Cricetulus griseus: one gene and its partners. The main gene of each other region encodes a partner of the protein of the gene in region 3 in a complex. Links are inferred from orthologs where the notes say so. Each region holds a gene or a part of one and is shown on either strand. Other genes may lie near its edges.

Region 1 (3,746 bases), on a different chromosome or scaffold from region 3:
TTTTCCTTTTGATTAAAAAATTCTCTCCAGGAGGCTATCTTAAATGCTCTAACCCCTATAATGAGATTGATGGCTACCTTACATGCCATTATAGAGCCTTCATCCAGTAGCTGATGGAAGCAGAAGCAGACACCACAGCTAAACACTGAGCCGAATTCCTGGAATCCAAGTTGCAGAGAGGGAAGAGGGATGAGCAAAGGGGTCAAGACCAGGCTGGAGAAACCCACAGAAACAGCTAACCTGAACAAGGGGGAGCTCATGGAGCCCAGACTGATAGCTGAGAAACCAGCATAGAATGGAACCAGTCCCCCTGAATAGTTAGGAGGCCTGGGCAGTCTATGGGACCTCTGGTAATGGAACAGCATTTATCCCTAATGGACCATTAGGTCCCAATAGGCCATTGGGAGCCCATTCCCCATAGAGGGATACTCTCTCAGCCTAGACACACAGGGGAGGGCCTAGGCTCTGCCCAAAATGATGTGACAGACTTTCATGATCCCCATGGAAGGATTCACCCTTTCTATGGAGCAGAAAAGGGATGGGATGGGGGTCGGTGGGGGGCATGGGAGAATGGAAGGGAGAGGGAACTGGGATTGATATATAAAATAAGATTGTTTCTAATTTAAATTTTAAAAAGTTAAAAAAGAAAGTCTTTCCAGAACCACAAAGTTATGTTAAAACTCATTTCATACCTTTCCCACAAACAGCAAATGTCCACAGTCATCTAGAAAATATATTGGCATCCTTGCTTTACAAGTTTAGACTTATATATGGCCCACTCAAACTAAGGCACCATTTTAATCTACTTCAAAATCAACCCCACATAATTTTCCTTTTGTTTAGTTGCTTCTTCCTTATTGTGTATTATATGTATGCAGCGTGTTACATTCCTGATTTCTGTCTCATTCTATAATACCATACCTCTCCATTTATTTTAAAGGTCAGAGTAAAACAAGTCCATATTAAGTTGAACCATAGAGGAACAAAGATTCTTCTGACCCCAGAAAAGTTTTGCATTAAAAAAATCAAATAAATTGTTAGTATTAATCATGGCAAGCAAAACATTCAAAATATTGTGTATTTATTTACAGTATATATGTATTTAATATTTTAATTTACATAATATGATGCCTACTAACTATAAATATGCATGTTTATGAGTATAATCTTATAAAGGAACCTTGTCTTCAATAAAAAAGTACAATTCTATCAACAACCTATCTAGTAATATCTATCAGCTATAATTAGTCAACTTGTTTGAAACAAGTGCATTGCTTTTTACTCAATATACAGGCATCCTTTTTTTTCCCGTTCTTTAACATTAAGAATGAATTAAAAGTCACAGATGATGCCAAGAAAAAGAAAATGCACAAGTCCTGGTTTTTACTACTTACACATGGAGTGAAGAAAATGAGAACCAAAAACCTCAGACAGAAAAAAAAGCCATTTCAGGTAACGACCATGTTATAACTTCTCCATGATTCTGCATTTAATTATCACTCAATGAAAACATTAAAATGTGTAAAATAAGTTTTGTCAAAGTTTCATCCGTACTTTAATCTTAGTTTCAGAAATCAGGAAAGGACTATTCTCTTAATGGCAACGCTGAGCTTATTGCTAAATATTACCTATCTTTTTGGCTCATGGAAGTTGTGTTATCATTTAGTATGTTTCGGAAAAAGGGTAAATATCTAAGCTAAAAAAAAAAAAAACAAAAAACAAAAAAAAAAAACAACCCTTCCCTTTTTAACAAACCGTTAAAGAAGATTGCTTTGGGAAGGATTTCACTCCACCCCAAGCAACCAACTCTTCACCTCCCAAACGTTTCTGAGACGCACACTCAACTTTGCAACTTCTTTTATCCGCTTCGAGCACCTACCAAGCAACTCCCCACTTTTCTATCTAAGCAGACAACTCTGGTCAGAACCTGGACTTTCAGCGGACTGGATTCAGAAGATCTGTGTGACCTTGGACACGTCATTTACTCCTTTAGTTTTCTCAGAAGCATCCCAAAGCGAAAGCGCTTTTGAGTACAGTTCAGGAGTAAAGCCATCTGACGTATGAGAGTTAAAAGGGACAAACACTTCTAGTTAAGAGTTACCTCCTTAGAGAGGCCACATCAGGAAACTGGAACTGAGTCGGAACTGTCAACACCGGCTCTCCTCTTTCCTCAAAGGGCATAACCCCAGTCACTCCGGGAGCCGACTCCCGGGCTCCCACGCTCTCTCCAGGCCTTACACAGCTCCAGCCTCACCTGCCGGGGACCCCACCCCAGCACATCCGCCCCCTCTGTCGGCGGGGACTCGGGAGGCCGACCTCACCCTTCCCCTCCGCTCGCACCCACAGCGGACTTCCTGGAGGTGCCGGGCCGCGCCGGGTAAGCGGCATTTCCAAACCGGCTTTACGCACCTCGCGTAGAGACCTCGCTGACGCCCAGAGGGCCCCGCTCCCCGCCCGTCCGCCCTCCGGCCAGAGCCCAGCCCCAGCGTCTCCGCCTCGGCCCCCGCCTGACCCCAAGCCGCGCTCGCTGCCCGGCGGAGCCGTGAGGACCCGAACCGAGAAAGCTCGCCTTACCAGCAACTGAGGCACGGACTTCACTTCCCACCTTTGGAGCCCTCTTCAACTCCCGGATCAATTCACTCCGGCGACGCCGGAAGGACCCGAGAGGAACCAGGCGTTGTCCGGAATCCTGCCCAGCCGGAGTCGCGCAAGGCCCGATGGGGATTCGTAGTTCCGCCCGCCAGTTCCGTCAGCACTTCCTGCAGACCTAGGACCACATTTCCCAGAAGGACCCGCAAGAACGCCTAGGGCGATAGGTGGGGACACTTGTAGCGAATAAGAAAAGAGTTCCCTGCCTTCACGGGAGGAAGGGAGACGGAGAGGGAGAGCGCCCAGAAACGGAGGAAGGGCGGGGCCGGCTCTCACCTGCACCAATCAGAAGGCAAGGCCGGCCCTCAGACGCCGTGCCCACTGATGGGCGGGGCTCGCAGATGAGTGGAAGGAAAGGGGCGGGGGACCAGAGGTGGCAGGGGACGGGCAGCTGGGTTGGGTGCCTGGGTAGGCTGCGAGGAAGCCTCTGGGGACTGTGGGGGGTGGAGGAGGGAGGGTGAGGCGTGGGCTTCGCTTGGGCTGAAGCGTCAGTACTCCCTAGGACAGCCCACTCTGGTGTACACTGGGCCGGCTCACTGAGGGGGCTAAACCTGACCTGAGAAGCTCCAGGTGCGACTCAGGGTGGGTGGGTGCGGTGGGGGGAAGGGGGGGGTGGACAGAGAACCAGGAGCCGAGACACTTGCTTCAGTAAGGCTTCGCGCCGCCTGCAGCTCGGGTTGCGCAAACGGCAGAGGGAGGAGCCGGAGCCCGAGGTCCGGCCAACTAGAGGAGGGGAAGGCGGAGCTTGAGTCTCAGTAGAAGCCTAGGCTCTGCTTGCTCTGTAGTTTCCCCGGAGAGAGGCAGGAGCAGGATCCTGAGCGATCACAGCCCGCCGAGCATCCTCTCCAGCATCCCGAGCCCGGGAGTGCAGGTGTGCGGGAGGTAAGCGTGGGTGCCCCTTGCCGGCGCCAGCACACCGCCGGGGGAAGAACGGCATCTGACAATAGGAACGCCAGGGCAGAGCTGAAAGAGTGTTATGTTGGCTTAAGATAGCATTGCAACCCCTTTCAGGGGAACGATGTGCAATTTTGGACTATAGTTGGGAGAAAAAGGCAAAAGGTAATTCCTTCTGATGTATAAGGGCGCGGTTAGTGATT
Region 2 (3,746 bases), on a different chromosome or scaffold from region 3:
TGAGCGGTGGGTGTGAGCAGTGGGTGTGAGCAGTGGGTGTGAGCGGTGGGTGTGGGGGATGAGTGTGAGGGGCGGGTGTGAGGGGATGAGTGTGAGGAATGGGTGTGAGGGTAGGGTGTGAGGGGTGGGTGTGAGCAGTGGGTGTGAGCGGTGGGTGTGGGGGATGAATGTGAGGGGCGGGTGTGAGGGGATGAGTGTGAGGAATGGGTGTGAGGGTAGGGTGTGAGGGGAGGGTTGAGGGGGGAGTGTGAGCGGTGGGTGTGAGCAGTGGGTGTGAGCGGTGGGTGTGGGGGATGAATGTGAGGGGTGGGTGTGAGGGGATGAGTGTGAGGAATGGTTGTGAGCAGTGGGTGTGAGGGGCCAGTGTGAGGTGTGGGTGTGAGCAGTGGGTGTGAGGTGTGAGTGTGAGGGGCGGGTGTGAGGGGTGGGTGTGAGGGGCGGGTGTGAGCAGTGAGTGTGAGGTGCAGTCACAGGGTGCAGAGTTGCATTGGCTGCAGTCACAGGGGCGGAGTCAGAAAAGCTGAGTCTCAGGGGCGGAGTCAGTGGGCGTTGCAAAGAGGGCGGAGACATGGGGCGGAATCATAGGGGCGGAGTCAGGGCGCAGTGTGAAAGTGGGTGGAGACAGGTCGGTAGTGATAGGCACAGAGTCAACCATGGGATTAAAAGGGTAGAGTTATTAACAGTGGGGCGGAGTTACAGGGGAACGCAGTTGTAGAACACGTCATTTCCGCCCGGTTCCTGGTACTTGCCTCAGTGGTCAGCACCGCGCATGTGCAGAAGGCTGCTGCTTTTCCCGCACTGCCTCTGGTCGGATCCGGTTCCGAGTAGCCCGGATAGGACCGACGTCAGCGCGGCGATCCCAGGACCACAGGGTGAGCGTGTGCGTGAGCCTGAGGTGACCCCTACTGGTCGGAGGCGACCGAGCCCGTGGTTACCGGCGCCGCTGTGACGACGCAGACGCCATGTTTGTTTATCTCGTCGCGTGGATGACGCCTTCCTAAGTGATTGCCACGCTACGTTGTGACGTAGCACATGTTTGTTTGCGGCACCTATTGATGACGGACAGCTGCGCGACGTTGATTACGCAACGCCGTGTGTACGACCCGCCGTGATGACGCAGGCTCCATGTTGCCACCTACGTTCCTGAGTTTACCGTCGCCATGGTGACCGCAGCGCATGGAGTCATGTTCCCCTCGCAGCGTTGACTTGGCAATGCTCCCGGACCGAAGTCGCTCATGTTGCCCGTGATCGTTTTTGTTTACAGTCACCATGGTTACGTCGCGGCCTCCGCCGCCATTTTGCCCAAGAACCTTTGGTTCACCGTCGCCATGGTGACGCCTCGCCGGTGTTGTCGCCATGTTCTCGGCGCTGATTAGATGACGTATTTTCGCTTGCGCCGCTGTCGGCCATGTCGCCGGAAACCATGTTGTTTACAGTCGCCATAGTGACAGTGCTGCGGTGCCTCCGCCATGTTCCCGGCGCGGCACTGATGACGCGTTGTCCCCTGCGCCGTCGCCGCCGCGCCCGGTTTGAAGTCAGGGCTAGGTGCGGGCAGCGTTGTCTGCGAGTCCGTCCCCGCTCTGACCACTCATCCGCCGGTCCTGCTGTCCCCAGCGTCTGTCCCTCCCTCCGTCCCCCCACACCCCCGCGATGCCACCCGGGAAGCCCCTGCAGCCCGTGCTGCGCATGAAGGTGGACGAGCTCTTCCTGCGCTGGCTCAGCGACCCCGGCACCCAGGACGCCCTGCGGGACGGGCTGCGGCGGCTACAGGAGGCGGGGGACGTCGGCGACGTCATCACCAGGGGCGGTGACGCCATCGGGAGTGACGTCAACCACGGTGACATCACCGGCAGACGCATCGTCAGCAGGAGCGACATAACCAGCGAGAGTGACGTCACCTTCAGAAATGACGTCACCAGAGCTGATGTCATCAGCGGGGACCCCGGCCCCCACCCTGCACCGCCCCTCGGCATAGCGAGACCCGCGAGAGCCCCCAGGAGGACGGCAGAGTGGATAAGGGTGAGCGGGGGGGGGGGGGGGGCGGGGGGGGAGACATGAAGGGGTGGGGCCAGAGGAGGCTGGGCCAAAGGTCTGCGTTGGTTTAATGATATTGGCACATTCCTTACCGTGCAGCGTTTGCGTGTTGTGATGCCCTCAACTCCGTGTTTGGACACTTTAACATGGTCACAGATTTAATATATTTGCGCATCTTAAGACGCTGACACATTTAGCATGTGTGCGTATTTTAACATATGCACATAATTCAGTAATTTGCATATTTTATTCACTCGGGTTTTAATATTTGCATATCTTCATGTACTTGCATAATTTGATGTGCTTGTGTAACTAATATGGTTGCATATTTCAACACGCTTCTGTGTTTAACCGGATCACACATCTTAGTACACGTTTGTGTCTTTATATATTTGAATCAATGTATTTGCATCCTGTGATGTATTGGAAGACATGACCGCTGTACACCTGTCCGCACACACCAGTGAGACACTCAAGAGATGTGCACTAACACACACATGAGTTCCTACACACACACGTGTGCACCTACACACATACACAGGTATACATGTACACACATAAGCACATGTGCATGCTACCACACACACACAATCATAGACACACAGATACAGACACACACATGCAGCAGCACACACATGAAATACACACACACACACACACACGTGCATTTCTGTATACCACCACACACATACAACCAAACACAGACACACACACACACACACATAGACACACAGGGACATGGACACACACACATGTCTGTGTTAACACAGACACTGCACTCACAGAGTGACACACAGAGTCACACATGCACACCGTGAGATGCACAGAGTCACACAGAGACATGTACACACACATGCACACATAGATGCATTTAGACCCACAGGGATAGGAACACGCACGCACATGCACACACAAACCTAGACATAGCGATGTGCACACATGCCTGCAAACACAGACACACAGATATGCACATAAGTGCACAGTCACAGGCACACATACACACATGCACCTAGAAAGAGACTTGCATACCCATGTGCACAGACATATGCAAATATGTACTTCTACACGCCCAAACAGAGACTCACCCCCATACATGTGCACGCATACATACATACTTGCATGAGCACATGCGTGGACACAGACACCAACTGGCGCACACATGTGTGGACCCAGTTGCAGAGACAGACACACACATATGTACAGATGTGAGTGCGCATGCGGGCACACACATGCAGACACGGCCGCACACGCCCACCCACAGAGTCACGTGATGGTACACACATACAAGCACACACATGTAGACACACATGCAGACACGCACCTGGGTGGGTGTGGGCAGGACCTGAGGATGTGTTGAGACCGGCGTCTGTGTGGGTGGGTGTGGTTCACATGGTGGCATGTTGGTGGGGCTGCAAGTAGACCGGGCCGGTGGATTTGGGTGGGGCTCCCGGGACACTGTCAGTCACCACCCCTGACCCCTCCCCCTGTGACCCTGCAGGTGCGGACACAGGAGGAGCCCTCACCGCCCCCGCCCCCGGAAGCCCCGCCCCCCGGCGGCCCGCCCCCTGGCCCCTCGATCCCCGCCTTCTTCTTCCCCCACGGGCGCCCGGGGGCGGGGCCGGACGTGGATTACGTCATCGCGCGGGTGGAGCGTGTGTTCGCGGGGTTTGAGCGACAGAGGGTGGGGCTCAAAGACATGGGCGTGGTCGCCA
Region 3 (3,746 bases):
AGAGGTTTCTACACAGATCATTCAACTCGGGAGGGACGCCTCGTCCACACAGCAGCGTTAGGGGCCACCTCTCCATACCTCCCCCGGGCTTCCCAGTTCTCGTGCCTCCACTCAGGGCCAGACAGAGACACACTTGGATCCCAAGGCACATCACGGATTACCAATGCCCACTCTCTCCGGAAGGGCGTTTTCTGTTTTAATTGTCTCTCTATTCTGAGAAGAGGGAGGGGGGAGGCAGGGAAGGGAAAAGCAAATTTAAAAAAAAATTACAAAAATAACCATGGGTCGCTAAGAGAAGATAATCTTCACAAGGCTGCAGCCAACCCTGCACCTTGCTCCCTCTCAAACGTGCATTTTTCAGTCTTAAGGGGACGTGACTGTGAGAATTCATAGGAGCCGGTAAGGGGGCGGGGGTGGGGGGGGTCCCAGCGCTGGGCGTACACCCGCAAATACCTTCCGGCTCGCTGACTTCTAACCAAAGAACTACATGTTCCTCAGCCGGATAGCAAGGGCTCGCCCAGTCCGCCCCGACCAGCCTGTCCTCCACTACGTCACTCACCGCTCTCCACACCCCACCTTACGCTCTCTCCGCACCGCCCCGCAGAGCCGCACCCCCGCCCCCCGCACCTCCCACCCTCGCTCCTCATTGGCTCAGAGCCCCGCTCGTTTCCGCGGTTGCCAGCGGTAACGCGAGGCGGGCACAATTTCGGTCGCTAAGACGCCCCACTTCCGCTTCCGATCGCCCGGCGGAAAGCCCAGCCCGCTTCGCCCCGACCAATGGAGCGTGGGAGGTAGGCGGGACTTGGTTGGTGTGGACCAAACAGACGCGACCCGGGGCGGCCAATGGGGGTGGGACGGCCCCTGTAGCGTGGCCCGGGAGCCCCCACGCCCTCTCGCGTCCTTCTCTCTCCCCACCCGCTCCCCCGCCCAACACGGCGCCGCCCCGCCCGATCCTGGATTCCGCCCGGCGCTGGCCGCAGCTTGACGGAGACGCCGGGGAGCCAAGATGGCAGCTGCCGACGGCGACGACTCGCTCTACCCCATCGCGGTGCTCATAGACGAGCTCCGCAATGAGGACGTCCAGGTGCGCCCGGGGCGCCCTGCCCTTAGAGCTGGGTCGTGGGGGGGAGACCGGGGACCTGCGGGGCGGCGGCGGAATGCGGGACGGACGGGGAGACAGAGAGATGGCTCCGGCTGCTCCGGGAGTGGCGGAAGGCAGCGGCGGCCAATCAGCAGCCGCGTCTCATCGTGCCGAGGGGCGAGACTCCATGAGACGGCGCTCCTGATTGGCCGTGGGCCCCAGCGGAGGGCAAGCCTCGAGGGTCCCTCCTGGGCGCGCGCGGCCGCCCGGGGAAATCTGTGCCCGGCGGCCCGAGATGGGCTGGGGCAGGGAGCCTGGGGCCGGCGGCCCGTCGGGTGATTGGCGGCGGCGGACTCGGAATGACCCCCCCCCCACCCGGGGGGGCGCGTGAGCCGCCGAGGAGGGGAAGCCCTCCTGGGTGCTGGGGACCTCGATTTCCCCATTGCTCCTCGGTGTTTTCCATCCTGGGCCCCAGGGGTGCTGATAACCAGGGCAGCAGCCCACTCCTCTCGGGCCTCCGCCTCGTATTGATGCAGGAGGAGGGGAGAGGAGGACGTGGAAAGGCATCCTCCTCTCCCGAAATTCGACTAGCCTAATTCAGGGACGGGTCACGTGTGCACACGCCACCCCACCCCACACCCCCTTCCCCAGGCTCGCCCCAGGCCGGACTTTTTGCCAAGGGAGGTGATAGTTCAGGTTGGCGGGAGAAGAGTGACCCAGGCCCAGGGGCTTTTAGTGGGTCTGCTGTGGTTCTGAAAAAAAAAAAGAGAGAGAGAGAGAGAGAGGTCAGACCTCAAGGCCTGAGGATGACCTTGTGTTCACGTTGTTCCATCGCCCCTGGCTTCCGTTTTCTACCAAATACCGGCTAATAATAGTCCTGGCTTACCCCGGTGGCTGAGGAGAGGTAGTAAAATAAAACTGGCCGCTTGTAAAGGCCCCGTAAATGTTAGCTGTTATATTTGAGGGGAGTGGCTTGTTGTGGTACCGTGCTCTGCGGCGGTGCCCCTGTTTCTCCTGGTGGTGCACTGGGTAACCTGAGGCTGCGCCCAGCCTCTAAGTCTCGTGGATATGATTCAGGTTCTGCTGCCAGACAGGCTGGAGCTGTATTTCCGGGCCTTGCACGTTTTGCTGATTGACCCAGGCAACCCAGTGTGAATCTCTTCGGTTAAATGGGAATAGCAACCTGGTTTTAGTGTCGAGTAAACACATGCGGTGTTACCAGGAATGTCATTGTTGGGGGCAGGCGTCGTGGTGCATGCCTGCAATCTCAGCACTCAGGAAGCAGGGGTGGTAGGTTCAAGGCTAGCCTAGTCCACATAGTGACACACTCTGTTGTATCAACAAAGAAACAGGCTGGTTGCTGCCCAGGAGCCAGGTGTGAAACAGGTAAAGAGAACTAAATAAATATACTACCACCTGTGAAAAGGGACGAGACCTGTCGGTGTTGCGATAATGAATCAGCAGTTGTTTGTTGGGCCTGTGTTCTGAGCTGTGCTCTGGGTGTTTGGGTACATCTGGGAGGAAAAGGACAAAAACTGGCCTTGGAAGAATCTACCTTGTAGTGAGGAGTGGCAGATTGTGTTGACTGTGAAAGGTTGTAAAGAGAAAAATAAGGAATATAGGGTGTATTGTTAGAGTAAGTGTGGAGAAGTCTTGTTGAAAAGTTGAGCCGGTACCTGCTTGTGGTCAAGGAAGGAATTGTGGGGTTCTGGGCAGAGTGCATAACATCTAAATGTTGGTCGAGGAATTGGACCAGTTCAGAGACTCCTTCCAGGATGCAATGCTTGAGAAGTTGGGGGTGAGGCTTACAGAAAGAGGGACTATACCTGTGCAATGACTGTAGTCCTCAGCTTGAAGCTATTTTTGCCACCAGGGATGTTTAGCAATGTCTAGGGATGTTTTGGTTGTCATAACTGGGAGATTGTTGCTGCTTTTAATGGGTATGCGTCAGGAATGCTGTTATACATTGTTGTTGTGTATAGGCCATCCCTCATGGAAGAAAAAAAGTCCCATTTAAAGACATTGGTACTAAGGTTGAGGGAAGCTCTTGGATGAAATATGCACCCAGGGATAGTAAGGAAGTTGGTTAGTTTAGGTCATTGTGCCAGTTTTGTAAGGCTTCTGTAACACTTTACCATAAATTTAATAGTATAGAGCAGCATAAAGTTTTATTTATGGTTCTGGAGATGAGAAGTCTGTCATAAGTCTCACTGGGTGAACATGACCTAAGATCTGGCAGCTGATTGATAACAGCCTAGCTTTGAATTCAAGCCACATGGCCTCACAGCTTTCTGCCTCTTCTTCAGCATTCACAGTGCCATCTTTCTGGGGGGGAAAAAAAAGGACATTGTTAACAAAATCAAAATTTTTGAGTGAAAGAACAGCTGCCCACAGGTGGCAGGGAAGCGCCATATTTAGGATCCCAATTCTTATGCATATTTGGTTTTTTGAGGCAGGGTTTCTCTGTAGCTCTGGAGCCTGTCCTGGAACTCGCTCTGCAGACCAGCCTGGACTGGAACTCACAAAGATCTGCCTGCCTTTGCCTCCCAAGTGTTGGGATTAAAGGCATGCGCCACCACTGCCTGGCTAATGCTTAGTTTCTGGTTGGGGGTTCATTGCTTTCCATAAAGTGTCTGCATCAGCATCCTTGCTTTTTAAAATGGCA

Evidence for each region. The genes of interacting proteins can lie anywhere in the genome.
Region 1: Ppp2r1a (region 3) and Pdcd10 share a complex: the UniProt entries of both Homo sapiens proteins name them as parts of the core of STRIPAK complex. The link is inferred for Cricetulus griseus from reciprocal best matches to the Homo sapiens genes PPP2R1A and PDCD10.
Region 2: the proteins of Ppp2r1a (region 3) and serine/threonine-protein phosphatase 2A regulatory subunit B'' subunit delta-like are in contact, whole or in part, in a crystal structure (PDB 4I5N), measured with the Homo sapiens proteins. The link is inferred for Cricetulus griseus from reciprocal best matches to the Homo sapiens genes PPP2R1A and PPP2R3B. Residues at the interface, in NP_055040.2 of Homo sapiens: Leu10, Ile13, Ala14, Ile17, Ala41, Leu42, Arg46, Ser49, Glu50, Leu51, Pro53, Phe54, Asp57, Ile59, Asp61, Glu62, Asp63, Glu64, Glu100, Glu101, Thr102, Arg105, Asp139, Trp140, Phe141, Asp177, Thr178, Pro179, Met180, Arg183; in NP_037371.2 of Homo sapiens: Ser122, Ser124, Ile125, Pro126, Thr127, Phe128, Tyr129, Arg275, Trp277, Ser278, Ala284, Glu285, Arg288, Arg354, Ser357, Gly358, Ala359, Val360, Thr361, Arg362, Gly363, Arg364, Gln367, Lys368, Glu394, Arg398, Asp401, Leu402, Asp403, Gly404.

What each region holds. Positions count from the first base shown.
Region 1 is NW_023276806.1:78,252,563-78,256,308, reverse strand, and holds the start of Pdcd10 (programmed cell death protein 10), read right to left. Parts: upstream 2,727-3,746; 5' UTR 2,575-2,726; intron 1-2,574. UniProt on the Homo sapiens protein: Promotes cell proliferation. Modulates apoptotic pathways. Increases mitogen-activated protein kinase activity and STK26 activity. Important for cell migration, and for normal structure and assembly of the Golgi complex.
Region 2 is NC_048603.1:17,809,499-17,813,244, forward strand, and holds the start of serine/threonine-protein phosphatase 2A regulatory subunit B'' subunit delta-like, read left to right. Parts: upstream 1-1,500; 5' UTR 1,501-1,650; coding exon 1,651-2,019; intron 2,020-3,532; coding exon 3,533-3,746. Other genes in the region: mucin-6-like, read right to left, coding at 1-491, 800-1,049, 1,154-1,271. UniProt on the Homo sapiens protein: The B regulatory subunit might modulate substrate selectivity and catalytic activity, and might also direct the localization of the catalytic enzyme to a particular subcellular compartment.
Region 3 is NC_048602.1:19,092,697-19,096,442, reverse strand, and holds the start of Ppp2r1a (serine/threonine-protein phosphatase 2A 65 kDa regulatory subunit A alpha isoform), read left to right. Parts: upstream 1-925; 5' UTR 926-1,006; coding exon 1,007-1,084; intron 1,085-3,746. UniProt on the Homo sapiens protein: The PR65 subunit of protein phosphatase 2A serves as a scaffolding molecule to coordinate the assembly of the catalytic subunit and a variable regulatory B subunit.